7 linked regions of the Rattus norvegicus genome follow. The protein of the gene in region 1 interacts with the protein of each later gene in a pairwise test. Links are inferred from orthologs where the notes say so. Each region holds a gene or a part of one and is shown on either strand. Other genes may lie near its edges.

Evidence for each region.
Region 2: the proteins of Dazap2 (region 1) and Tent5b interact in binary tests that used the Homo sapiens proteins (3 or more experiments, as listed by UniProt). The two-hybrid records come from large-scale screens. The link is inferred for Rattus norvegicus from reciprocal best matches to the Homo sapiens genes DAZAP2 and TENT5B.
Region 3: the proteins of Dazap2 (region 1) and Epn1 interact in binary tests that used the Homo sapiens proteins (3 or more experiments, as listed by UniProt). The two-hybrid records come from large-scale screens. The link is inferred for Rattus norvegicus from reciprocal best matches to the Homo sapiens genes DAZAP2 and EPN1.
Region 4: the proteins of Dazap2 (region 1) and Tax1bp1 interact in binary tests that used the Homo sapiens proteins (3 or more experiments, as listed by UniProt). The two-hybrid records come from large-scale screens. The link is inferred for Rattus norvegicus from reciprocal best matches to the Homo sapiens genes DAZAP2 and TAX1BP1.
Region 5: the proteins of Dazap2 (region 1) and Clasrp interact in a two-hybrid assay, tested with the Homo sapiens proteins (2 studies listed by BioGRID and IntAct). The link is inferred for Rattus norvegicus from reciprocal best matches to the Homo sapiens genes DAZAP2 and CLASRP.
Region 6: the proteins of Dazap2 (region 1) and Maged1 interact in binary tests that used the Homo sapiens proteins (3 or more experiments, as listed by UniProt). The two-hybrid records come from large-scale screens. The link is inferred for Rattus norvegicus from reciprocal best matches to the Homo sapiens genes DAZAP2 and MAGED1.
Region 7: the proteins of Dazap2 (region 1) and Pogz interact in binary tests that used the Homo sapiens proteins (3 or more experiments, as listed by UniProt). The two-hybrid records come from large-scale screens. The link is inferred for Rattus norvegicus from reciprocal best matches to the Homo sapiens genes DAZAP2 and POGZ.

What each region holds. Positions count from the first base shown.
Region 1 is NC_086025.1:133,592,215-133,596,336, forward strand, and holds the start of Dazap2 (DAZ-associated protein 2), read left to right. Parts: upstream 1-1,322; 5' UTR 1,323-1,432; intron 1,433-1,487; exon of another isoform or gene 1,488-1,556; 5' UTR 1,557-1,721; coding exon 1,722-1,734; intron 1,735-2,882; coding exon 2,883-3,001; intron 3,002-3,686; coding exon 3,687-3,932; intron 3,933-4,122. UniProt on the Homo sapiens protein: In unstressed cells, promotes SIAH1-mediated polyubiquitination and degradation of the serine/threonine-protein kinase HIPK2, probably by acting as a loading factor that potentiates complex formation between HIPK2 and ubiquitin ligase SIAH1.
Region 2 is NC_086023.1:150,977,949-150,982,037, reverse strand, and holds the start of Tent5b (terminal nucleotidyltransferase 5B), read right to left. Parts: upstream 2,801-4,089; 5' UTR 2,647-2,800; coding exon 2,383-2,646; intron 1-2,382. UniProt on the Homo sapiens protein: Catalyzes the transfer of one adenosine molecule from an ATP to an mRNA poly(A) tail bearing a 3'-OH terminal group in an ATP hydrolysis-dependent manner.
Region 3 is NC_086019.1:77,786,612-77,790,700, reverse strand, and holds the start of Epn1 (epsin-1), read left to right. Parts: upstream 1-1,289; 5' UTR 1,290-1,492; intron 1,493-2,988; 5' UTR 2,989-3,092; intron 3,093-4,089. Other genes in the region: U2af2 (U2 small nuclear RNA auxiliary factor 2), read left to right, coding at 194-328. UniProt on the Homo sapiens protein: Binds to membranes enriched in phosphatidylinositol 4,5-bisphosphate (PtdIns(4,5)P2). Modifies membrane curvature and facilitates the formation of clathrin-coated invaginations. Regulates receptor-mediated endocytosis.
Region 4 is NC_086022.1:83,190,623-83,194,122, reverse strand, and holds part of Tax1bp1 (tax1-binding protein 1 homolog), read right to left. Parts: intron 1,939-3,500; coding exon 1,813-1,938; coding exon of another isoform or gene 1,759-1,812; intron 1,392-1,758; coding exon 1,320-1,391; intron 1-1,319.
Region 5 is NC_086019.1:88,370,844-88,374,343, forward strand, and holds part of Clasrp (CLK4-associating serine/arginine rich protein), read right to left. Parts: coding exon 3,466-3,500; intron 3,384-3,465; exon of another isoform or gene 491-3,383; coding exon 406-490; intron 1-405. UniProt on the Homo sapiens protein: Probably functions as an alternative splicing regulator. May regulate the mRNA splicing of genes such as CLK1. May act by regulating members of the CLK kinase family.
Region 6 is NC_086039.1:63,420,186-63,424,423, forward strand, and holds the start of Maged1 (melanoma-associated antigen D1), read right to left. Parts: upstream 2,801-4,238; 5' UTR 2,700-2,800; intron 2,145-2,699; 5' UTR 2,116-2,144; coding exon 2,071-2,115; intron 1,374-2,070; coding exon 675-1,373; intron 124-674; coding exon 1-123. UniProt on the Homo sapiens protein: Involved in the apoptotic response after nerve growth factor (NGF) binding in neuronal cells. Inhibits cell cycle progression, and facilitates NGFR-mediated apoptosis. May act as a regulator of the function of DLX family members.
Region 7 is NC_086020.1:185,125,904-185,128,072, reverse strand, and holds part of Pogz (pogo transposable element with ZNF domain), read right to left. Parts: intron 2,133-2,169; coding exon 2,108-2,132; intron 1,995-2,107; coding exon 320-1,994; 3' UTR 1-319. UniProt on the Homo sapiens protein: Plays a role in mitotic cell cycle progression and is involved in kinetochore assembly and mitotic sister chromatid cohesion.

The sequences.
Region 1 (4,122 bases):
ATTTAGTGCAGCCTATACATGCTCTATGTGTCTACAGGAAAGCAAAATGGAAATCCTGATCCCGGAACCTGGAAGGCAGAACACAAAACTTGAGTCTGTAACCTGCCCTCGAGATCAGTTTTTCTTTTCTTCTCAAATGTTTATTTTTGTGTCTGCGTGAACCTACGACACGCATGCGCAGGTGGTCCCCAGGATGAACCAGATCAGCCTCTGGAAGAGCATAAGTGTTCTTGACCACTGAGCCTCCCCACCAGCCCCATCAGTGTTCTGTTGGAGAAGCAGGGATGCTCAGATAAGCCCGCTTGCCTCTCGGGCTGCTGTGTGGGACTGGATGAAACTGCATTTACAGGACGCCTTGCAAACTGTGATAGTCACCTGACACACAAGCAAGGCCTTCTTGGTGTTGGACGAATCCAGAATCCGTTCACCGAGGGCCTCTCGCTCCAGAGCCTCTCCGTCTCCTTGAGCGCGCACAACACAACTTCTGCAGACAGCTGCGTCGGTTCCTCACTCTGTGCGTGCCCATGAGGAAACGGGAAAAGTGTAATCACGGTCCTAAGAGACGTCGCCTCTACCCTTCAGGACAACTGGGAGTGGGCTAAGGCACACACAACGTCTGTAGGAGACTACAGGCCCCCTTAGGACGTGCCAGGCCAGGGTCAGCCTGCGCGGGGCACGGTCCATCTCAGGGCAGGAGCTTGATGCGGTGTCATGGTTTGTATCAGGGCGCCAAGCAGGGCGCGGGGACACGGTCTACCTCCGCACGGATCCGGGCGCGGGGGCAAGGTCACCGACCCCGGGCGCTGGACCGTCAATAGGAGGCCTGGAAGAACCGGAACGCGGGACAGGCTAGGATCTGAGGTCCAGAGGTGGCTCAGAGCAAGGGCGCCGCCCTAAGACAAGCCCTCTACGAACTTCAGGGCCCGGTGTGAGGGGTGGGCGGGGCACTGGTGAAGGCGGGGCATGCGGGGAGGAAGGGCTCGCGGTGAGGAGGAGGTGCGCGGTGAGGGCGGGGCCACGCAGGGAGGGCAAGGAGGGCGGGGCTACACGATGAGGGCGGGGAGCGCGGTCAGGGCGGGGCCACGCAGGTATGAGGGGCACGGGGTGAGGTGGGGCCGCGCAGGGAGAGCGGGGACCCCGGGGAGCGTGGGGAGGGCGGAGTCACGCAGGAATGAGGAGCTTGGGGTGAGGGCGGGACCACTCAGGGAGGGCGGAGTCACGCAGGGAGGGCGGGGCATGCGGTGAGGGAGGGGAGCGCGGTTTGGGCGGGGCCGCGCGGGAGAGCGGTGTGGGCGAGGAGGGCGGGGCCACGCAGAGGATAGCGGGCACCGGGTGAGGCGAGGCCGCGCAGGAAGAGCGGGGAACCCGGGGAGCGCGAGGAGGGCGGAGCCACGCAGGAAGGGCAGGGCATGAGTTGAGCCTAAAGCGCGAGGTGAGGGGGAAACCGCGCAGGGAGGGCGGGGCCGCGCGGGAAGGAGCTGCGCGAGGTGAGAGCAGAGCGCGCAGGGAGGGCGGGGCACCCGAGAAAGGCGGGGCTGTAAGCGCCCTCCTTGCAGCGACTGGCGGGCCTGCGAGGGGGCGGGGTTTCCGGCGGCAGTGCACTCGGGCATCGACTGACGCAGAGTGGACGGGCGTCACGTGACACGGAAGTGACTCCGAACAGGAAGAGGACGAGAAAAATAACCGTCCGCGACGCCGAGTGGAAGTGGATTAGAGCCACCATGAACAGCAAAGGCAAGGCCGGGAAGCGGCGGAGGTCGTCGGGGACGCGGGCGGGTTCGGGTCGAGTGGGCCCGGGGGCGGCGGGCTCGGGGCGGTCAGGGCCGCTCTCCTCAGCAGGCCGCGGAGCGGGGCCGCACCTGACGTGTCCGCCCCCCCTCCCCCACACACCGCAGCAACTCGGCTCTCCGGGCCCCGGCCCCATAAACTCTGTGGCGCAGTTTGGAGCCGCGGGCTCCAGTGTGTGAGGTGGGGGTGTTTTTCCGTGACTGACACCGGCTGGAGCGAATGGGGAGCTAGAGCAGGGATTTGGGTAGGCCAATGGAGGACCGGCAGAGGCGGGGCGCCGCGCTTCGGAACAACAGGCCTTGGCCGAGCTTAACTCGTGAGGTGCCGGCTCTGCTGCCCAGTCCCGGCCTTCAAGGATCCTTTCCCGCCTGCCTTCGACTTTTCGCGCTCCCTCCTCAGGGCCAGGATTTATAGTCGTGCCTGTGCTAATGTTTGTCAGACCATGGTCGCGTTTACCTCCCGCCCCCAGCCGCCGCCCTTCTCATGGTTAACTTCCATTCACTCACTCTTTGGAAGTCGACCTTGAGTAGGAACCAACCCGTGAGGTAACACGCAGAACCGTGGGTTCCACAGAGTCTGCACTGGTTACCGCACAGTCCGTGGGAGACTACCCGGACTAGAAGTCCCCCCAAAACACCAGCAATCCAGAATCCCCGGCACGGGTTCTCAGACCTGTCCTTTATTTGGGAGGGAACGGGGCCAAGTTACACTTGATTCCTCCATCAGTATGCTAGTGGGAACAGCGCCTTCTGCCCAGTCAGAACCCAGCACCTTCCACTGTGAGGGTGCAGAGACAATCTTTTATTTTCTTGGCTCTAAGAGCTAAGGCCCTGTGGGGCAATCTGTTTGCAATTCTTCTGCTTGAGCTCACCAAGTTAACTGCCCGTTTTACAAATTTTTTTTATTGTCTGTGAATGTGAGGGTAGGTGCCCACAAAGACAGAAGCTAGAGTTGAAAAGAGGTTGTGTCAGATGTGGATGCTGGGAACAGAACTTGGGTCCTCAGGAAGAGTGGCATTTTGTCAGGAGCATCTTTCCTATTTGCCACCTCCCTAATTTGATAGACAACATCTCTCTTCCCCTTTTGTATTCCAGGTCAATATCCAACACAGCCTACCTACCCTGTGCAGCCTCCTGGGAATCCAGTATATCCTCAGACCTTACATCTTCCTCAGGCTCCACCCTATACTGATGCTCCACCTGCATACTCAGAGGTACTGCACTTTGCTAGACTTTTAACTATTTGAATACACTCTTGGACCCCTCCCCCATTGTTAAATCTTCAAATTCAGAAGCAGAGAATGCTCTATGAACCGTCTAAAACATAAGTTAATAATTACCATTGGAATTGAACGCATTATCTGCTTGTTATTTGACATGCTGAGTTAGGCTGAGTTTGGGTCCCTTGAGCCCAGTAGTAGCTGTGGATGCAAATGACCCAGAAACTGTGTGCCAGTGACAGTAACCAGTGTGATCCACACACACAAGAACTGAGAATGGACTCATGAGCCATGCGTGGTGGTAAGACCAGTAGTCTCAGCACACGGAAGGCTCAGGCAGGAGGAGCTTGAGGTCAAGACTGTCTTGGGCTATAGAACCAAACCCCATTTCCAAAACAAAACAAGGGGCTGGGGATGTAGTTGATTTGGTAGAGTGCTTGCTTAGCATGCACCAAGCCCTGGATTTGGTCTCCAGCCCAATGTGAGCTGGATTTGGTGGTGCAGGCTTTTATTTCCATCAGTCAAGAGGTCAAGGCAGGAGAGTCAGGAGTTGAAGGTCATCCACTCCTACATTCTTGCAGGCTAGCCTGAAGTACAGGAGATGGTCTCAGCAATACTTAGAGGAATTTCAAATACCAGTGTCACAGAAATATTTTGCCTTCTCTTCTGCTTCTTTTAGCTCTATCGTCCAAGCTTTGTTCATCCAGGGGCTGCCACAGTCCCCACCATGTCAGCTGCATTTCCTGGCGCCTCGTTGTATCTGCCTATGGCCCAGTCTGTGGCTGTTGGGCCTTTAGGCTCCACGATCCCCATGGCTTATTACCCAGTTGGTCCCATCTATCCACCTGGCTCGGCAGTGCTGGTGGAAGGAGGGTACGATGCAGGTGCCAGATTTGGAGCTGGTGCCACCACTGGCAGCATTCCTGTGAGTATGCCTAACCAAGAGCTCAGCCCTCGTGCACTTGAACCGTCTGAAATGACTTCATACTCATTCTCCTACCATCCCAGGGTAGTAGTAGTCAGGACTGGCACAGCTGCTGCCCTCTCATGACAGAAATGTGGCTGGGCCAATCAGGGCATTGGGCACAGTCCTTAGAGTTAATCAGATTCATTTG
Region 2 (4,089 bases), on another chromosome or scaffold:
ATTTAGCTCAGTGGTAGAGCTAAGGCCCTGGGTTCAGTCCCCAGCTCCAAAAAAAAAAAAAAAAAAGAAAGTGGGTCCCCCAGGCACAAGCAAGGATCTGTTTTCCTAGCTGCTCAGACTGTTGCGGTAGGGAAAACTTTGGTGGGCTCAGAAGCAGAAGGCTTCCATTCTTGAACCTGGAGACAATTTAACACTAGTGAGAAGTCCTAGCAGGCTCCTCCCTCTCCCCCCAACGTCTCCCTCCTCCCTCGTGCAGCCCCTCACATCCCAACAGCTTTAAGAGCTATTAGCTGGGGTTGGGGATTTAGCTCAGTGGTAGAGCGCTTGCCTAGGAAGCGCAAGGCCCTGGGTTCGGTCCCCAGCTCCGAAAAAAAGAAAAAGGAAGAAAAAGAAGAGAGAAAAAAAAAAAGAGCTATTAGCTGTGGATTCCCACCAGGAGACAGACTCACTGCATAGGCAGGTGAAGGCGTGTAGTCCCTTGGGAGTCTGGAACCAGAAAGGATTCTGCAGAGTAGTCAAACACCATCCACTGAACAGATGGGGCCACTAAGCCCAATAGAAGGAATAAACAATGAACCCAGTAGCCCGGAGGCCTCTGCCACCTCTCCACTCCACAGCTAACAGCTCCCCTTCTGGGATGAGAAGTTCAGGAGGACCAATGCCATGAAATTGACTCCCACTGACTCAACCCCCAACATGACTGGGAGACAGAGGTCGAAACCCAGTCACGTTCAAGCTCCCAGCGTCAGTTTAGATACTTTTCCCTATAGAGAGGCCTAATCATGCCAAGCACCCCGAGTGAGCACCCCCTTTCCTTCTCTTCGTGCCTGGGATTATGGTATTTCCTCAGGAGAGAAGCCAGCATAAGGGTAGCAACACACCCGTAATCCCAGCTACTGAGGAAGCTGGGGCAGGAGGATCATTTGAGTTTGAGGGGAGCCCAGGCAAAACATAGGACCCCATCTCAAAACAAAACAAAACAAAAAACAAAACAGGCCAAAGCCATTTACTAATAACCCAGGCAACGTCAGGAGAGCATGGAATGCCTTAGCCATCCCGACTGGGACAGCCAGTGAGTCAGCCCAGGAGAATCCGTCCCCACCCCCTCCACCTCATTCCTTGTTCCTAGGGAGGGCACTGTCGGCTATAGCTATAGCTATAGCGGGGTGACGGGGAAAGCAATTGGGGGGGGAAGGCTATAGCAAAAGGGGGTGTGTGTGATGCGTCCAGCTTTACCTGGCTTGTGTGTAAAGACAGTGGTTGGCAGTAACACACAGGAACTAGCATTAGTTAACTTTTCTGATTTTCACTATCCAGGGACTCCAGGACTAGATGTTGAGCTTGGGAACCTGGGGAGGGGTGGGAAACCGTACCATCTGCTCCTGGAGGGCTCCAGGATTCCCTGAGCTTGACCTCCATCTCACTGGATAGCCTTAGGTAGCTCATCCTCCCACTCAGTTAGAATGGGGGGTGGGGTAAGAACAGACATCCTGGGGGTTGGGGATTTAGCTCAGTGGTAGAGCACTTGCCTAGCAAGTGCAAGGCCCTGGGTTCGGTCCCCAGCTCCGAATAAAAGAAAAGAAGAAGAAGAAGAAGAAGAAGAAGAAGAAGAAGAAGAAGAAGAAGAAGAAGAAGAAGAAGAAGAAGAAGAAGAAGAAGAAGAAGAAAAGAACAGACATCTTCTGGTATTTCAGAATACCATAGGGCTCTGGCTCTACACGGAAAGAGTTAAGTTAAGAGTTAACCCTTGCAGGGTTAGGTAAAAAGAAGAGGTGGCGTTTGATGCAAGGGGCAGCTGACAGAATCTGATCCTCAGGAGGGAGATGGTGCTTTGGGGTCTGAACCTTGGACCCGCCTTCCTTTCCAGCCTTACAGGAGGAGGAACACCTAAAATGGAAATTTGATGCTATCTTCAAAGGGGTGAGGTCTCCAGCCTGGCCACAACACGTGGGAGGCAGGGAGATTTCCCCAAGGACTTCTGAACTGTTTCACCTAGCCAAGATTTCTTGAGCCAAGGGCTGTGGGGACACAAGGGCAGAGTGCCCCTAGAACCCTACTAAGGATGTGGAGTAGAAGAAGAAAAGCTATTTTGGAATCAAGTATATACACTCTTCATTGGGGGCTGCCAGGGCGATGCCCCATTCTAGTGCCTCCTTCATCTCCTTCCCACCTCCCAGCCAGGGTCTTGGTGAGTGGTTCCCAAGGGAATAAGGAGTTCCCAGAACGGCTGACAGGCAAGCTCAGCAGGGTGCAGGAAGAGCCGAACTGGTAGCCCGGGTTCCAGTTCCTTAGTTTCCCTAGCTGCCAGGCCAATCGCAGAGTTCAGGTGCCTTGCAGCAGAGCACCACCCCCCAGCCCCGACCCTGTCACGGTCCCCCTCACCTGTACAATCTGCTGGGGTTGCACGCTCAGCGTGGGGAAGTTGCCTCGCCCGTGAATGGGGATGGGCTCTTTGAGCAGCGCGTCCAGCCGCTTCACCTGTGGCCAGCTCAGTCGGCTCTGGTGCCGTCCCAGAGAGGCCGAGGAGGCCTCCAGGTCCGGGCCGCCGCCGGCCGCCCCAGCCGTGGCCACTGCCGAGGCTGCACCGGTCCCCACCTGCGCAGCTGGCTGCTCCAGGCTCTCATCTCCACTCTCCGACGGCATCATTCACCCGGCCCCGGTGCCTCGACGGCAGAGACCCGGGAATGGTGAAGGCGAGGAGGGCAGGGAGAGTGGCTGTGCACGGGCCAAGGCGGGGTGCGGGGACCCGGCGGCGGCGAGGCAAACCCAGGGAACAACTCCGACCGCAGGGAGGACTAACAGATCTTAGAGCCAGGCGGATCGGGCCCAGCTGACACTTATAGGCCGCGGGCCGCACGCCCATTGGTCGGCACAGCTGTCACACAGCAGGATGCCCGCCTCTCATCCCTCCCCCTACCATTGGCCAACGGAGTTTTGCAAGGGAATCGCTTGCTCTCTGATTGGCCGAAAGGCACGCCCCTTCTCCGCCCCTTCTCTTCGGACCGAATTCCCTCTTTTGGGCTTGCGATTGGCTCGAGCCTGGCGGGACTTAGAGGGACAGCGCCCTCCAGCGACAGAGGTTTCTGTAGAGAAATGTTGCAGTGTTAACGAGGCGGCTGCTTTCTAATTTATTTCCTTGATTGGCCCTTCGAATCACAGCATGCCTGGCGTACCTGTTCCATTTTAAGTGAGGTGAAATCTGCGTAGAGAGAGGGCGTCATTACCCACCATTACGTAGCGTGTGCGTGCTGGTTATGGTCCTGATGGAGGTGTAAAGATCTATGCAGCTCTCTGCTCCATCTGGGCTGACCCAGAATTTTTCTAGGATGGATATCACTAATTTTTTTTCTCTTTCTCTTTAGAGATCATAGAGTCTTATTGCTACTTTTGAGTCTTACCGCCTTCTCCTTTTCAGATTTTAAACATAGGTGTCATGGGGAGGAGGAGGGAGAATAGAAATCGAATCGCCCTGTTCGTTACTGCAGTATTTTTCTTGTCATCCTCATAATAATGTATCAAACTCTGTAGCCTTCCAGTCTCCTGAAAGGCAGGCTAAGGAGTAAAAGACAGGGAAGGAGAAACCAGGACTTAGGAAGCTACTACACCTCAGTGTCTGTCAGGGCACAACTTGGACCTGCCCTCGGACCAGAACACACATTACTTCTTTCTGAAAACCAGCCCAGCATCAGGCTGGTCTTGTTTCCCTTTCCTGGAAACCACTGGAGAAGGCACCGTGTGCTGGGCCAGATATGTAACCCCAGTCTTCCAGTGGTGTGGGCAGGAGGATCAGAAGTTCAGTTATCTGTGTCTACCTGTTGAGTTCTGGGTCAGGTAGGGCTATATAGTGAGACCCTGTCTTTAATAATAAGAGTAACAACAACAACAACAACAACAATAATAATAATGAAGACTGGAGATGTAAAGCTATGACCAATTGCTTACCAAGTGTGCTGGAGACCCAGGCTTCAACCTCTGGTGTCACAAAACAGGGAAAATAAAGAGGAGATCTTTGGCTGAGTTTTCTCTGAACTCTAGACCTACCAAGATCCCTGAGGCTACCGATGAAAGTGTTTGAGGTCCAGCCATAAT
Region 3 (4,089 bases), on another chromosome or scaffold:
CTCTGTTTCCATGATGTCTCTCATCTGTACTTTGTTCTTGGGTACTGGAGAATGTTTGGGTGAACAGCCTCACACTGAATGGAAGGCCTCTGTGGAGTGCATTGAGGTGTTCTCTCATTTTCTGTACTTAAATGAATGCTGAGTAGTTGCTAGGAGCCAGTTTTGTTCACAGAACTGCCTCTTGTTCCTACAGATCTTTGTGGAGTTCACCTCTGTGTTTGACTGCCAGAAAGCCATGCAGGGTCTAACCGGCCGCAAGTTCGCCAACAGAGTGGTGGTCACAAAATACTGTGACCCTGACTCGTACCACCGTCGGGACTTCTGGTAGAGGTGGCTGGGGGAGGGTGGGGGCAGGGCTGGCTGGGGACTTTCCCCCCCACCTGTCCCCTCCTCCTTTCCCCCCTCTGAAGATGATGGGCAGAGGAGTGACAGCCGAATGACAGCCGGCAGCAACTGGAATGGCAGCAATTAAGGGGGGTGGGGGGGTGGGGGGGCTAGGGCAGGAAGGGGACTGGGCAAGTGCACACAGGCCCACAGACACATGCACCCACACAGACACAGAGGGAACGGGCTGGGATGGGGACTGTGTGCACAGCAGGGCGGGTAGGACCCCCCACAGCCCCTTCCCAAACAGCCTCTTAACCCTTACACCCCTTTCCTCCTCTCTTACCCCATGGTAGGAACATAGCGTGTTTATATTTTATGGCCAAACTATTTTGAATTTTGTTGTCTGGCCCTCAGTGCCCTGCCTTCTCCCTTTGCAGGACCACAGCTCCCGTCCTCTGGCTTTGGTCCTCCCTGTTCTCCACCCTGGTTTCTTAAGTAGTTGGTTCTTCTTAGTCTTCCTGACCCTCAACCCGTGGTCTCAGTCCTGCTCCTCCTCTCTGTGGCAGTTTCATATTTGCTAATACGAATTTGCTCATTAAACATTTTGTTGTATTTTACTTTATGGCGCCCATCTGTGTCCAGTGTGTCCGCCCTTCTCTTTCGCCCGAGGGTGTGGAGGGTGGCACCTAGGGAGGGAGACAGGCTTGAGGGTCCTGCAAGGGTATCTGTGGTGGAGAGGCTTCAAGGTAGTAGGTTGGATGTTTCAGTATATCCACTGCTGCGTAGATGCGGAAGTGACGCAAGGGCACAAGGACGCGTCCCGTGCGCCGGAAATGATGCCGGGGTGGGTTTGGTTGCGGAAGTGGAGGCTGCCGGGCGAAGTGCAGAGGGCGGGGCACGCGGGGTCATTTCCGCTTCCGGTCCGCCGCCACCTTCGGTTGCTTCCCGTCCACTCGGAGGCTCCCCTCCCCCGCCCGGCTCTCCGCGCCCCTCCCGGGCGCCGGGGCGGCGGGGCCGTCGCCGTGCGGCCCTCCGTGCGTCTGTGCGTGCGCACGTGCGCACTTCTGCATCCCGCAGCCCGGCGCGCGCCCGGCGACACCGAGGCCGAGCGGGGGCAGGGGTCTGACCGTCATGACCCCCGGGAGCCCGGTGTAAGCGGGCCGAGGTGAGCGAGGGGCGCAATGCTGGCCTCCGTCGCGGCAAGTCCGGTGTTCCGACCTGGGCAGTGGCGCGCGCGGGTCCAGCCAGACTCGGAGCCGGTGTTCCAGCCGCTGATGGCTTGTGGCTGCTTTTGTACCGCTGTGCCCGGGTCGGGGTTGCCTGCCGGTGTGTGTCTTTTTTTGGGATTGTCAGTGTCCCCGTCTCGCGTGGCCCTGTTTGTGTTTCTCTGCCTCTGTGTTTCGGTGTTTGTACAAAAAGGTTTGGAGGTCCGAGTGCTGTGTGTTTGTGTCCTGGATCGCTCCGTGTTCCTGTCAGGATGCAGTTCTTGTCTTTTCTGGGTTTCTGTGTCTTCATTTCCCCAGACTCGTTTCCCTCTAGTGCATATTTCTCTCCCGTTCTTGCTATCGTCCCCAGGTACTAAATTCCTTCCTAGGAACCTATTGCTTTGGTTTAGAATGTGCCTCCCAGGTTTTTGAGTCTCTGGTGTTCTGGTAGGAGCTCTGGCTGTGGAATCCAGAGCCCCCGCTGCTTTCCTCGGTCTTGAGACTTCAGTTTTCTAGCCTTCTAAACGGAAGCATTCATAGTTCCTGCACCACAGGGTCTCTGCGCATTAATTGAGTCGGTGCTGGTAAAGTGCCTAACAATGTCTGGCCTGGAGTTAAGCATGTGATTACTATTATTAGAGGTTTTATTTCGCTTAGTATTTGATACCAGGTTTTTGAGTTCCCCTTGGGAGAATTTCGCTATATTGTTTGCACTGCTTAATAAGCAATTCTAAATTAATCAAATGTGGAAAATTGACTCATTTTCAGCAGCATTTGTGAGATCTAGTATGTTTTTTGAACATGCTTGGAGTAGGTAGTTGGTGTTAGGATAGTGCATCTTTATATGCCACCCTTTGGAAATGTCTTTTTCTGATAATTATAGCAGCCAGGGGTACTGAGCGCCTACTATCTGTGGGGCACAGATCCAAGTCTTTTATGTACCCATCTTATTTAATCAGCAAGCTTGCCGGCTAGCACCCCTCCCTTTGTTACACAGTTAGGTGAACTGAGTCACAGGTTTGTTTTGCTGGTTGCTTATGTGGCCGGGATTTGAGTGTAAATTTTGTGTTCTTTTAAATTATATCTCCTGCCTCTCCCACCCCCAGGTCAGAGCATGTGTGTGTGTGTGTGTGTGTGTGTGTGTGTGTGTGTGTGTTTTGTTTTAGGGTCCCTGCCTTTCTGTCCTCCTGCCTTGCTGTCTTCCCCATGATTCTGTATTGCTTTTTTTTTTTTGCCTGAGTTTTTGTGTGCCTCTTTCCTTCTCTCCCTCCCTCTTACCCCTCTCTTTCATGTGTGTCACATCTGTTTGTCTTCTGGTGTCTGTTCAGACCTGATTTGGGACCCTGCTACTTTCTTTTCCCCTTTGCCTAGTTATACCTGTTAGCAGGTACTCCATTCTCTGGCCTGAGTTCAAGGTAAAGAGCAGCCTCTCCCATTCACCTATGTCTTCCTTCAGGTTGGATCATGGTAGGGCTCAGTAAATCTCCCTCCATGGCTTGTTGGAGAGGCATAGACTGTTGATCGGAGTCTACTCTGGACCCAGGCTGCTCCAGTTGTGAGGTGTGTGTCCCTGGGCAAGGTGCTAATGGAGTACCTCCTGTGTAAAGTGACTTTGAGTCATGGATTTGTAAGAATTAATTGAGTTGATAGCTTAAAGGACTTAATGGGTGCCTAGAAGGTTGTGGAAGTGCTTATTAATATTATCTAGATTTCTGCCCTTGATGCTTTCTGTCAGCTGGTCACAGCACAGGTTAATTTATTTAGGTTAATTTAAAAGCATGCATTTAATGGCACACACCTTTAACCCAGCACTTGGGAGGGAGGGACACGTGGATTTATCTCTTCAACTTCCAGGATAGTCAAGGCCTTGTAGAGAGATGTGTCACTGATCCCCCCCCCCCCCCCCCCCGCCCCCAAATAGGAGTTTATAGAGGTAAAGTAGGTTTGATAGTTGAGTCTGCTTTGATATTTATGATGTGACCTTGGCCAAGTTATTTAACTTCCATGAGGCCATTGTCTGCATTCAGTGTTAAATGAGACAATATGTGCCTCGTGCATAGCACAGTTGGTGTCCATTAGTGGGGACTCCTACATTTCTTATCTCTCTGCTCCCTTGAGCCTTGAGCTTCCCTCCCTACCCTCAGGACAACTAGTCCCTGGGCATCCCCCAGCCTCCCACTACCTTGGGCTGTCTTCTCTGTCTCCCTACCATTTTTTAAGTCCCATCTTTGGCCTCTTTTGCCATGACTCCTGTCCCAGGGTTGTTTGCTTCTTTCTTTCTCCATTTCCTTCCTGCACTGTTGTTCGAGTGGTTTTTCCCAGTCAGCTTCTGTGCAGGGAAAACCAGTATTGTTTCCACCACTGTGGGTCTTAGGTAAACCATAGTTTCAAAATCAAGACAAATAGCTCTAAAATCACAAGAATCCACTCACAGGAGCATCTCTGGGAACAGTGACAAAGGCATTTGAGTTCGTATAAGTAGCACCCTAGGGATGTGTGGCAAGTCTGGTGAGGAAGGAGGAAAAGTTTGTTAGCAGGACAGGACAGGGTATCCCCC
Region 4 (3,500 bases), on another chromosome or scaffold:
AACAGACACAAAATATTAAACAGACTGTTTGACTCACAATGCAAATACTTAAAAACTTTTAACGTGATAGAAACAATGCCATACTACAGGAAACCGAGAACAAGTTCAAAGATATAATAATAATAATAATAATAATAATAATAATAATAATAATAATAATAATGGTGGTGGTGGTATAGTAGTAGTAATAGCAATATTACTAGTAAAAGAAAGCAGATAACAAGTGTCCAACACAATGTTCCTGAAAAGGTTGGTATTTTTAAAACTGTCAATAAAGCTACTGATCTCAGTATATTTCTTCCATCAAATTTTTTCAAAGGCAAATGCTATGAATTATATTTGCTCCATTAGTTTCTCCATTTAACAAATGCTTGACTTCAAACAGCAGGTATTGTAAAGGACTGCAGATACAATGAGGAAAACAGGTACAATGTGCATTCTTCACAGACATGCAGTTAAGTAGATGAGACAGACACCAACAAGCATAAACATACACATACATATCTGCATATTTAAAAATTATGGAAAGTATTATGAAGTAGTTTAATAGTAGTACCTAACTGACCTGCAGGAGAAGCAAGCTTATGCAGCTGAGTCACTGGCCTATACAGGAGGGCAATGCTATCTCACAGTGACAGCACAACTGGCTGCTGGACACTAGTGAATTAGCAGACTATTGTCAAACCACAGAATACAAACATCAATATGAGAAGACAAAAGGGCTTTCCTGACAGAATGACAAAAGACAACCAGGGAAGTGATGAGTCTGAAAATCTTATTCTGTAGCAGAGTGACAACCTGAAGATCATTCCTTAGGCAGATCATCCAACAGCTGCACATTCTACTACACCACGGAACTCTGCCCCTGACTACTAATGCATCTGTACACACCAGCAAGCATCAAGCTAAAACAGAAGACACAAGTTTCACAATTGTAGTTCTGTTTAAGGCTTGAACTTTACATTAGCAAGAAACAGTAACAATCCTTCTCCTTTAGTTAACAGATTCAAGAAAATACCTATGTCTGAACAAATACGCAATTAAAAATTCATTTCTTCCCTAAATTTGAGTATTTTAAACTTAGCTTATTGTTAAATGCAAAGTATGTGTTGGAGCCCAAACTAGCAATTTTCACCACTTGGCATATTTCTCAAAAATTGGCAGATGTGGCATCTGGAAATGAGAATGGTACACAAATTACTGTTTACTAGCAGGAGGTATAACAGTGAAGACACAGAGGAAAGCTTTCAAAGAGAAGTCAGACAAGAGAAAGCAAACACTGGTTACAGGCTGTCCACAGCGAGTGCAGCACTCAATACCTTCTCCCTTGAGAGATTTTCCAAAAATGAAGCCAGGCAATTTATTTCTTTGTCTTTCTCTGCCAACTGTAGCTGAATTTTAAAAAAAGGAGAAATTATCGTTAATATTTTTACCATCTATTTTCTCCTCATACATAGGATCCACTTAAATCTATACTATAGATAGATACCTGAAAATATAATGAAGCCTATTATTATATATAATATGTACTAAAAACTTTTTTAAAAGGTAAATTTCAAAGTCCACCTGAACCCACAGAACTAAAGCCACATTAACAAATGCATGTGGGAGGCCCTTTTCTCAGGCTAGTAAATAACCTGTATGTAATTAAATATCCAGGACATCTGCATGGAACCTGTGCTTGGCTGGTGTTTTATGGGGGGCACATGGATCAGGACCGGGCTCACTAAGCACCATGGGTCAAGCCTCTGAACTTACACTGTAACTGTCCTCTAGCTCAGCGAGTTCCAGTCTTACATTCTCTGAACTTACACTGTAACTGTCCTCTAGCTCAGCGAGTTCGAGTTTTACATTCTCAGCAATTCTCACTTGCTCTTTCCACTTCAGCTCCATTTGCGCAAGTTCATCAGCATATTTATTGCATTTGGCTTTCTCATCCTACATAAAATTAAAATTAGTCAATTAGTAAAAACTTCACACCTCCACAAAGCAGATATCCATACAGGCAAATGTGATAATTACTGTAACAGTATAAAGCCACTATGTTTACTAAGTAAGTCATTTTTTTTTTCTTTTTTCCGGAGCTGGGGACTGAACCCAGGGCCTTGCGCTTGCTAGGCAAGTGCTCTACCACTGAGCCAAATCCCCAGCCCCTAAGTAAGTCATTTTATAGCTACACAATGGAGTAACACACATCTACTTAAAAAGGTAAGTGGATGACCGTGTGAGGTGTCATACTAACAGCACACTGCAAAACAGAGTGTATACTGTAACCCCACTTAACTTACAATTTGCTTTCAACAGTTAAATATGAGTGTCAGTGTTGTACAGAAAAACACAGCCCAATCGCCATGGCTCCTGCACTTGGATCAAGAATGTACTTTTTAATCACCCTACTCTTTACATTTCTAAGACAAAAACTTTTCATGATAAGTATTATTTCACAAAAGTACTCTTTTGCAAAAGGAGGAAATCTAAATCATGCACTTTTATGATGACTCTTTTTCTAAAAAACTCAAGAAAGAAGTTACAAATAGTGAACAAAAAGTAAATAAGCCAAGTGCATTTAAATATTTCTTTCAAGACGGAAGTTCAAAAAATAAATTGAGCAACGCCAGCCTTCTAAACTCCATAGCATACCTTCTACACTTCCTTTTTCTTTTTCTTGTTTTTTTTTTTAAGATTTATTTATTTTATGTATGTGGGTACACTGTAGCTGTCTTCAGACACACCAGAAGAGGGCATCAGATCTCATTACAGAAGGTTGTGAGCCACCATGTGGTTGCTGGGAATTGAGCTCAGGACCTCTGGAAGAGCAGCCAGTGCTCTAACCGCTGAGCCATCTCTCAGCCCCACTTCTGCACTTCCTAACATACAAACAACATCTCCAAGTGCTTTACAAACCTCAATGTAAAATCCGACAATAAAACTTCTGGATGGACCAGGAGTGCAGCTCACTGGCAGATCACTGGCCTAAGGCCTGGGTTTGATCTCCAAGCACAGCAAAAGCAAAACAAGTAACTCCTGGGACAATGCAGGGGAATATGTTTAATACCTTGCAGAATGTGCTTTATTTAAAAAAAAGTACAAAATATAAACAAAATTGATACTTTGCCACAATTAAAATCTGATTTTCTAAAAACTTTAAGCAAACATATCACACATAAGGGAGACAGTAATGTCATCTACAAATGACAGGCAGGCAGTTCTGACACCATGGCCACTGGTCGTGCAGTATATTAAATAGATTTGTGATGTTCTTTCTACTCTAGTCTGAAGAGTTAATTCTTTGGCCAACTTGCCAAAATCACCACCACATGTATACAACATAGCCACCCCTGCTTGCACACGCACTTAGCCTTTAAATAACTATACAATTGGGCAAAAATCTGGTTTCCATTCTTTTAGAAAGAAAAAAATGCATCGCATTTATAACAACACAAGATTTTTTTTTTAATATGTGAAACATTTACAAAAAGAGAACTGCAGGGTTAAAAACA
Region 5 (3,500 bases), on another chromosome or scaffold:
GCCACGGCTGAGCGTCAAGAAACAGATCCTGTATGTGGCTGCTCCCAGGTCGGAGCACCCAGCCAGGCTGGCTTTTGAGATGGCTGGCAGCACTGATGCCACCAGGTCCCTGTGGGTTGCAAACTCGCTACATGCTGGCACCAGAACTTTATGACTCCCCATCAGCCACGTTCCTCGCAGCTCCTGACTTAAAGCTGACTCTGAGGGCGGCCTTTCCTCAGCCCACCCCAGGACTTATACCTCCCATTCTGCAAGGCAGGAGCGACAAACCTGGGTGGAGCCTGTCTACTGTCACTGCCTCCCCCTCTCCACATATATGAAGGCAGCACCCATCAAGTGCTGGCTGACATGAAGGGGTAGGGAGGCCGGTCCCTGCCCACCCCATCAGGCCAGACCCTGACTTACTTCTTCTTCTCATCCTCGCTGGGTCTCTGCAGGCCTCCATACAGCTCATCAATATAGATCTGATACAAGCACTGTTCCTCAGAGACTGGGCAAGGAGAGGCACACACAGGTCAGCCCAGCCAGGCACATGTGAGTGCAGTGGGACACAAAGACACAGGAGGGAGTGGGAGGGGGACAACCAAGGCAGGGTCACCTATCTCAAATCACTCTTCTGTCTAGGACCCAAGTGACCACAGTATATAACATCAGCCAGATGACCCACTCACACTGTGACCTGGCTCGTTAAGTTAACCCTTGACCCTTGTGTCTCAGCTCCCTCTTCTATAAAATGGGATCCCTGACAGAGAGTAAGTACTTTGGACCTAAGGGCCCCTACCACTGTCATGGAGCCTCTCTGGCCTCCAGAACCATAAAGGCCTATAAGTGTTGGGCATCACTGGCTGCCGTGTGCTCCCGTGTGCTCCCGTGGGTTGGCTTCTATTAATGGAGTGTCTGATGATCCTGTTCTCCTACACCCCCAGCATCCACTTCAGAACTTCCTTCCCAGGGTACTGAGGCAGCCAGTCTCCCTTCAGCTCTGGACTGGGGCTCATGTGAGTCCTTTCCCTTCCCTTCAGCTAAGCTCCCCTTCCTCTTTAAAGGGAACAAGTGAGGAGCATAAGAGTAAACCTAGGGGGTTGGGGATTTAGCTCAGTGGTAGAGTGCTTGCCTAGGAAGCGCAAGGCCCAGGGTTCGGTCCCCAGCTCCGGGAAAAAAAAAAAAAAAAAAAAAAAAAAGAGTAAACCTAGGCCGAACAAGTCCTCTACCATGGAACTCCATCCCCAGCCTTCTTTTTGAGACAGGGTCTCCAAGTTGTTCAGGCTCTCAGGCAAGCCCTGAACCTGAGGCCTTCCTGCTTCAGTGTCTAGGGCAGCTCTGGTGCTGGGCCACTGTGGCAGTCTGAGTGCTTCAGCTCTTCTGTCTGGGCATCAGGGTCTGTGCTAGGTGACAAAGCATGGCCCCTCCTTGGGACTAGGAGACTCCTGCCTAGTCTGCATATCCTAGCAGAAGGCCCTACTGCCCTCTCCCAGTGCTCGCTGGCCTGTCTTCAACACTGTTCTCCAGGACCTCTGTTTACCTAATTTTAGGAGCTAGAATCTACTTTCCCTGGGCTAGCAGAAAGCACACATCGGCCCTGCTGTCTGTCTTCCCTTCAGGAACACTTGGCGAAGCATCCCTTAGACCACCTAGGTTTGTTCAGTGGCTCTCCCTGGGGCCCCGTCCCCACAGCAGCACAGAACACACTGCTTGTAGGAGTGACTGAAGGACTAAGAGAAGCCCAGGCTCCAGCTGCAAGGAACCATGTGGCCTGGACTAAGGGCAAAAACGACAGCACCAGGGCTGGAGAGATGGCTCAGCAGTTAAGAGCACCCGACTGCTCTTCCAGAGGTCCTGAGCTCAATTCCCAGCAACCACATGGTGGCTCACAACCATCTGTAATGAGATCTGATGCCCTCTTCTGGTGTGTCTGAAGACATCTACAGTGTACTTATATATGATAAGTAAATAAATCTTAAAAAAAAAAAAAATAGGGCTGGAGAGATGGCTCAGCGGTTAAGAGCACCCGACTGCTCTTCCAGAGGTCATGAGTTCAATTCCCAGCAACCACATGGTGGCTCACAACCATCTGTAAAGAGATCCGAAGCCCTCTTCTGGTGTGTCTGAAGACAGCTACAGTGTACTTATATAAAATAAATGAATAAATCTTTAAAAAAAAAAAAAATAACAGCACCATGGTGACAAACGACAAACTTCTTGACTCTAAGGCTGCACTGCCTGCTAGGAGGTGGCAACCTCTGATTTTAAGCACATAGAAGCATCTTAGAAATACAGAAGTCTGGGACTAGGAAGCCCACATGCAGGGCCACCTGTGTCAGCCAGAAGCAAGGCTTGCAGACCCATGGACCCATCTAACACTCCACAGGGAGGAGTGAGACCGGCCGGGAAGAGGTTTGTGTGGATGACCCTGGCCCAGGGCGCCCACCAGTGAGCTCTCCATGCTTAGGCAGAGGCAGGGAAGATGTCATATCCAGACAGACACCCACAAGTTCTGTCTAAAATGGAGCCATCAAACTAGACATAGCGGTCCTTGCCTGGGGACCAGCTGCAGCACTGGGGAGGGTGGGGCAGGGGACCGTGAGCTTTAGGCCGGCTCGGGCTAGAGTAAGACCATGTCTCAAACATACAAAGAGTAAGAAGAATATCCCAGGTCTAACGGTGCAGCTCGCTAGGCGAGCACTTTCCTAGCATCTGTGTGCACAGAACACAAGAGGGGGGGACTACTGAGTCCTCTCCTGCCGGAAGCCATGCAGGGTCACCCGGTGCTATCTGCTTTGTCTGCAGTGCTGGGCACGGAACCAGTCTCCATCTGCTCATGCATGCCATGTGCACAGGTAACGAGGCATGTGTGTAGAGGTCAGGGCTGGGGTCTCCTGAGCAAACTCAGGCTGTCAGGCTTTCAAGGCAGGCACATTTTCTTCCATGAGAGAATTCTGAGCCAGTCCCTGAGCTGGTACCCAGAGCCTCACACACCCAAGTGCTCCACCACTGAGCCACATCCCAGCCACATGCAGGTGTGCCCTGATGACCTGACAGAGAAGCCTGCTCAGAGGATCCACCCTCCCAGGGAAGCCCAGAGGAAAGTCCTTGCCTCCTGGACCATTGACTCTCATTCACAAAAGCGAACAGTAAAGGCCAGATTTGGCATGTTCGGGGCTCTGCCCATAACAAGGAAGAGCTTCTTCCCCTCTCCCATGAAGCTGGTGCCTGCCTCCCTCCTTTTTTAGGAAAAGAGCTCTGTATAGAATCAGAGGGAAGGGATAGATGTGGCCTGGGCAGAGACCTCCAGTCTCTTAACTCCACAGAGACCCTGTGCCAGATTCATGGACGCAGACCCAAAAGGGGGGAGGGTACACACACTAGGACAGAACCAAAGGTGACCAGCAGCAAGTACCTGGGTGAGCCTTGTCTAGGTGGTCCAGCCTCAGGCCCCCATGCCCCACGCCCCGCCCCGCCACTCACTGCCGGCGAAGTCGTTCTGCACCAGGCCTCGGTAG
Region 6 (4,238 bases), on another chromosome or scaffold:
AGGGGGTGCGCCAGGTGGGTTCTGAGTGGTTACTGGAACCGGAGCAGACCTCCAGTTCCCGGAAGCCAGCGAGGCACGCCTTTGGTCCCCATTGCTGTTCTCTTCCACATTCAAGTTATTAATCTGTATCATTAGAGAGAAGAAAATTTCAGGGTCACTATTAATCCTGGCACCCCCAGTAGCTATCCTAGGAAGTCCCTAGGAATCCTCACCTATACCTCACTAGCCATTAGCCACTTGGTTCCTCACTGTCTTTCAGGAAAGCATTTCATCTCCAAACCAGAGAAAGAAAAACACAAAGTGGAGCCCGGGGTTTCTCCCTTTCCTGTGCACTGCTTGGTTTCACCCTGAACTCATTTCTCCCTGACTGTGGTCTCTCTTGCTTGTGAGGTGGATCTTCAAAATCTAATGATAATTCTGGGTGAGCCTGCCTAGCTTAAGACATGGTGTTTACTGTCAAATGTAAGACGGTCTGCACACATACTGCCTGTGTCCTTGTATCAACTCATCATTAATCTGTGGACAACCGGGGGTCAGGAATAAATATTTATTTCAGCTCCCCCTACAACTTTGCCAAAATAGAGATATATATGTGCCCTTTATTTTGTTTGGAGCAAAGGAAATTCAAAGAAAGGAGAGACCTCAAAGCAAAGGGAAGCCAGCAGGGATCTCACCTTGCGGGTCCTCTTGCCCCGAATTATAGTCCGGGACTCCACATTCTGAGCCTGGGAGCCATCTGCTGAGGTCTGGGCTGCTGCACCGTCAGTTTCAGAGATACCTGCACTGGTCCCTACGTCAGCCATTTTGGCCTGGTTTACATTCTGGGTCTGGGCATCAGCTCCAGGGATCTTAGTGGTGTCATTCCAAGCCTTAGCTGTCTTAGGCTGGTTGTTGGTCATCTCATTGGCACTGGGAGACTGAGTGAAATTGTAGGTGGCACTGGGGCCAGCCTTAGTAGTGGTATTCTGACCCTTAAAGGCCATTTCAGACTTTTTAGCTGCTGATTTGCCTGTGGATGCTGCATGGGAAAAATCAGAGGCAGCATGTGGACCTTTAGAGGTGGCATTCTGTGACTTAAAGGCCACCTTAGGCTGATTCTTGGGCATCTCCTTGGCATTACGTGCCTGAGAGTAATCATTTGGCCCCTTTGTGGTGGTATTCTGGGCCTTAAAGCCTGTCTTAGGCCTGGCAGCAGCTGCTGAAACCTCAGTATCAGCCTTCTCATTGGCAGTTGGGGGCTGTGAACTCTGGGGACTAGCATTCGGCCCACTGGCAGCTGCTGTGGCCTGGCTGGTGGGCGGAGCCTCGGAGATCTGGATGGCTTCCATCAAGGTCTGCACAAGCAAGGCGCTGTCTTCTACAGAGGCCTCTGCCTGCAAATACAGGAGGGGGAAATTTTAATCTCTGGGCCTTACAAGCCAGACCTGAAGGAGGGGCACGGCGCAACGCAGCAGGGGAACTGTAGACAGGCGTTACAGTACTCAGACATGGGGGCAGAGGCGGGTCAAAGGGAGGCGGGGCGGGAACAAAATTTAATTAAAGGTAGAGGGGGCAGGGCAAGGTGAGGGACAGTCGGAGGCAGCAGGGGCTGGTGCGGAATGTGGTGCAAGCACTGAACCCCGAATGGGTTTAGAGACAGACTCGTGAGGCTTGCCGTGGGGAGCTCAAGACCTGAGGACGGAGGAATTGAGGAGGATAAACAGAGGAGGGTGGAGGGGGAGTCTCGCGGCGTGGAGAAAGGGAGGGTGGAGGCGAGAGGTTGGGGGATGGGGCGACAGACTGCTCTACACGCGTCAGGGTTATGGAAAAAAAATGGTTCCTTACCCAACCCGCATTCTCTGGGCAGAATGCCCTGACTAACAGGGTCTCCCCTTTCTCTAAGCAGGGACCGATGGCTGAAAAGGGCCGCCCCTCCCCCCTATTCGATAAACGCTAGAAATTTGAGAGCCCGCGGAGTCTAGGCCGGAAGAAGGGCAAAATCAGATCCTGCCATTTGCGCGACCTGAGGGGCCAGGGGTGGGCGTAATCTGTCAGCAAGGAAAATGGAGGAATTGGGAGCGGGGTTCTCACCTGGAAGCCGCGGAGGCCTGCACCGCCGTCCGGTTTCTGAGCCATAGCTCTTGTCTCTCTGGCAAGAGCAGAGCCTGAGGGGGGTGTGGGAGAGGAACTAGGCATTATACTACAGAAGGAAAATACGTAGGACCGAATTGTGTGTGCGCGTGTGGTTTGATTATGGGGGCGGGTGAGGTGCTGGGTACGGGGAGAAACAGGCCTAACTGAAGCGGGAAAAGTAAATGGTCGTCCCGATAGACAATCTAAAATTTCCAGAAGCTGACAGGTAAAAGCTTCAAATCCGCGGTTTGGAATCAGATAAGCGCTCTGAATGCGGTAGTTTACAGGGGCGGGGGGGGGGGCGGTTAGCGGGGAGAGGTTCGCGTCTGTAAAGTTGAATTAAGGCTTTGAATCTAGAGGAATCGTATAACGGATCAAGGTCGGGAAATAGGATTCAGTGAAGGAATTGGATAAAGATTCAGGGAATGAACGGGAGTTCGAATTAGAAAGGGTCGGGAGCGAGGTGTAAGTCCGGGGTAAGGCAGAGGAGGGGGTTTCTGAATTCAGGGAAAGGGGATTGGGATAAAAGAATGGGGGAAGGGCGCCACACCAGGGGGGCAGATGCCCAGTCCGGGGGCGGGTCTCACCTTGCCTCAGGCCCCAACCCCAACCCCCTTCGTTGCTTCCTTCTTCACGACTCAGAGGATCGGGACTGCTCTGCTCCGCTCTCTGCACCCGCACTCTCTCCTTGTCCAGGAGAAAATGCCAGCGCGGCAGCTCGGGCGACCCCGCCTCTTCGCCTAATATACCACCCACCGCCTCAGGAAGCCCCGCGCATGCGCAACAGATCACTGTCCAAATAAGAGTCCCGCTTGCTTTCCCAACAAAAGCTTCATCCTGGAGACCTTGTCGCGCATGTGCACTTGGAGGAGATCCCGCCTCTTTGCCAGCACACTATCCCACCGCCAACCAGGTTGACAGTGTACAAAGGTTCCTCCTCCCCTTCTCCTTACGCATCCACTCCTTCAACAGATGCGCAGCGCCTTTTGGTCCCACCCCCTTGCCCAACACACCAGCCCCCTACCTTTATCCGCAATGCGTCTCTTCTCAGTCCCGCCCTTTTTCCCGAACTCTCTCTAGCCAGGTCCGCAACTACCTCCCACCCACTTGCTTAGAGCCTCTTAGGTAGGCCTCTGCGGGGGGTCTCTTATTTCGACACAAACTAGGCCTCTGCTGAGTTCACGCACTTTGCAATGCAGAAACCTTAAAGGCAGGGGCAAAAAAAAAAAAAAAAACAAAAACAAAACGTGACAGAGCTACCAGGGCAAGGGTCAGCCTGGGGATTCTATAGGTTTCCTCTCACGAGACTCAGAAAATTAGCGTTTCTCTCGCCCTTTTTGCAGTTTTTGCCAAAGAAATATTTCGTGAGGGGTGGGTCCGAGAGGTGAGGGAAGGGCGTAGGGCAGTGGGCTCTGTCCTGGAGCTTGGTTTTCTCACAGGCAGCCTCAGGAGATGGATGGAGGTCAACATTCTCATTTAACACGTCAGGTAGCTAAAACGTAAACCCGCTGTATGGACCAGGGCATTGAGCTAGTAACAAACAGAAAAGACAATATTTGCTTAAACACACTGGTAATCCCAGCACTCCGGAGACCGAGTTCTAGGCCAGCTTTGCAACTCTGAGACTTTATCTAAAAGACAAACAAACATCCATGTGGGGCCTGGATGATCCTGACTGAAAATCTGCTCTGAGAATAGAGGCATTCCTTAATCCTCTATTGGAATAACAAGCTTTCCTCTCCCCAATATTTGTTCCAAGGGAATGAGGCTTGTGTTCTAGGAGGCCTGGTGTATGTGGGAACCCTTCAGGTTCACTCTGTGCTCCTCTTGGCAGGCAGTCTCCAGGAGTGAGACGGCGGGCTTTTTTGGTGCCTGCTGGAGCAGCCAGGGTAGTCAGGTGTGTCTGCCCTGTTCTTGCGGAATGAAGCTGGGCTTGGCTTTAGAATTCCAAGATGAGTGTCTGGCCTATCTGTCTCTGGCTGTGTGAGCCCCTGAGACATGGTCACTTTAGTGGACCTCTCTGAGCCTAATTTACTCACTACACAAAATAGGAATCCCAGGAAGAGAGTCGTGTCCAAGGACACACAGTCTGCTGTGCCAACATGGCTGGAGAAACAAACGCAGAA
Region 7 (2,169 bases), on another chromosome or scaffold:
ATATTTGTCCACAAAGGATTGTTTTCCTAGATTTTGTCCGAAAAATAGCAAACACAGTGATTTAAATTAAAGAAGAAAAAAGGGTCACAAAAACATGGTTTTAGCAGGAGTAACCAATGGGCCAGCTCCTCGGCTCAGAACTGATCATTACTGACTGGTGTTCATAATAACCCACAAGTTCACAGGAAGAGTCAATGTCGGGAGTGGTGGCATAAATTGAAATTATAAACCAAGTACCCCACTGGTACCCCTCCTGTCTAAGCCCCTCTAACCTCCCTCAACTTTCCTACCCGATTCAATGATTCCATAGCCTCAGCACCTAAATCTCCATCAGATCTAGGTCAGCTTCCTCAAAGCCATAGAAAGACTCTGTCTCACTTTCTCCCTCAAAAAGCTGATGAAGGCTTTCAGGCTCAACTGTCTCTTCAGGCGATGACCTGGGTCGGGGGGCAGAAGCTGAGTGCTCCTCGGACTGTTCTCCATTTAGCTTTAGCTGCTCCTCGAGGGAGGCAATGAGCTCCTCCTGCATATCAGCGTTGCGTGTGGGTGAGTTAACGTTGCCATCAGGGCCTGGCAGAACACTAGCCACAAGGAAGGACCGCTGAACTAGGTCTGGGGAGTCCCCAATGACACTCAGCACCTCACCCAGCCAGACCAACACCAGCTGAAGCAAGACATCAGAATCACAAGCAGCATCTGCCATTTCCCGAGCCTGCTCCTTCCACTTTTTGTGCAGGAAGTTCTTAACAGTTCGTTTGATGCACACGTCTAGTGGCTGGATTTTAGAGCTACAGCCTGCGGGAACCACCGCAGGCAAAGTGCTAGAGGCACTGAGCAGGGCCAGCACCTCTTCTGACAAGTGAGTGCGATGACAGTCCATCACCAGCATGCTTTTGCTGTGCTGACAAGCTGTGTGCTTCTTCCACACACGGGTGGACCAAAGCTCCATGATTTCATCATCACTATAGCCACTGTCTTTAGCCTCTAGTAATATAGAGTCTGGCACATTAGCAAGCCGATTCGCTTGACCTCGGAAGAAAACCAGGGTGGGGAGGACAGTGCCATCTGCTAGGATAGCCAGCACGACGTCACACCAAGGCTCCCCTGTGCCCACTGTCTGCAGAGCGTTCTCCTTCCGGTCATCACTGCTCAGCACCTCTGTGTCCAGAAACAAAGAGATCTCATCGATAGCCACAATCATAGACAAAGGTAAGTCTTGGTTGTGAATCTGCCGCTGCACAAACTCAATGAAGAGTCCAGCATTTTCTGCTACATGCTTCGGTAACGTGTGGGCTACAGCTCGCCGGGCATGGGGAGTGAGGTGGTGCCGGAGCATAAAGCGCACAGCCCACTCATAGGAGATCTTAAATCCCCCTTCCAAAGAGCGTCCGATTTTGGTGGCCTTCTGAAACAAGGTCTCTTCATTTACAGGGAGCTGCTGCTCTCTCTGGATCAGCACCCATTCAGCCAGTTTTTCTTCTGCCTCAAAGCTGAGATATTTGCCCTCTAAATTCTCTCCCTGAGAGGCCTGAAAGCGTCGAAGCCAACGGCGAATTCGCCGCTGGGGGTTTCGGAAGTGTTCAGCCGCCTGCTCTGTGTTGCAGCACAGGGCAAACAGCACTACCCGAAGCTTCTTCACAGACAGCTGCTCTTTTTTGCCAACCCCACTGCCACCACTTCCAGCACCTGATGCTGGTTCAGGCTCCTGGGTGACAGGGCTTCCCTCCTCCTGTTCATTGACATTCAGACACTCAGTCCCCTCTGTGGCCAAGGGTGGCAGGGCAGAGGGCTGTGGGTGAGTGGGGGTTGCTGGTGGGGTTGCAGTTGAGGCTGGTGATGGAAGTGCCTGGAGCACAGGACCTGCCAGCTCCTGAGGCTCTGCTGAGGTGGCTCCTACAGGCTTCACAGTGGCAGCTTTGTTAGGGAGGAGAGGAGGTGGAAGATACGTATTCTTCATGCTCCGGTCCAACACTCGTTCAGGAGTCTGGCCAAGCCTAAGGGAATGGGGATAGGAGGCAGAGAACAGAAACGTCAGTTACACTTCAGGATTTAAATCGTAGTATTTGTAAGAGCAGACTCTGCAAAGTGCACATGAAATGACCATTACCTCGAGTAAGACATCCAACTGAGCCCTGGGAAAATGAGATTAAAAAAAAAAAGGTTAGCTCA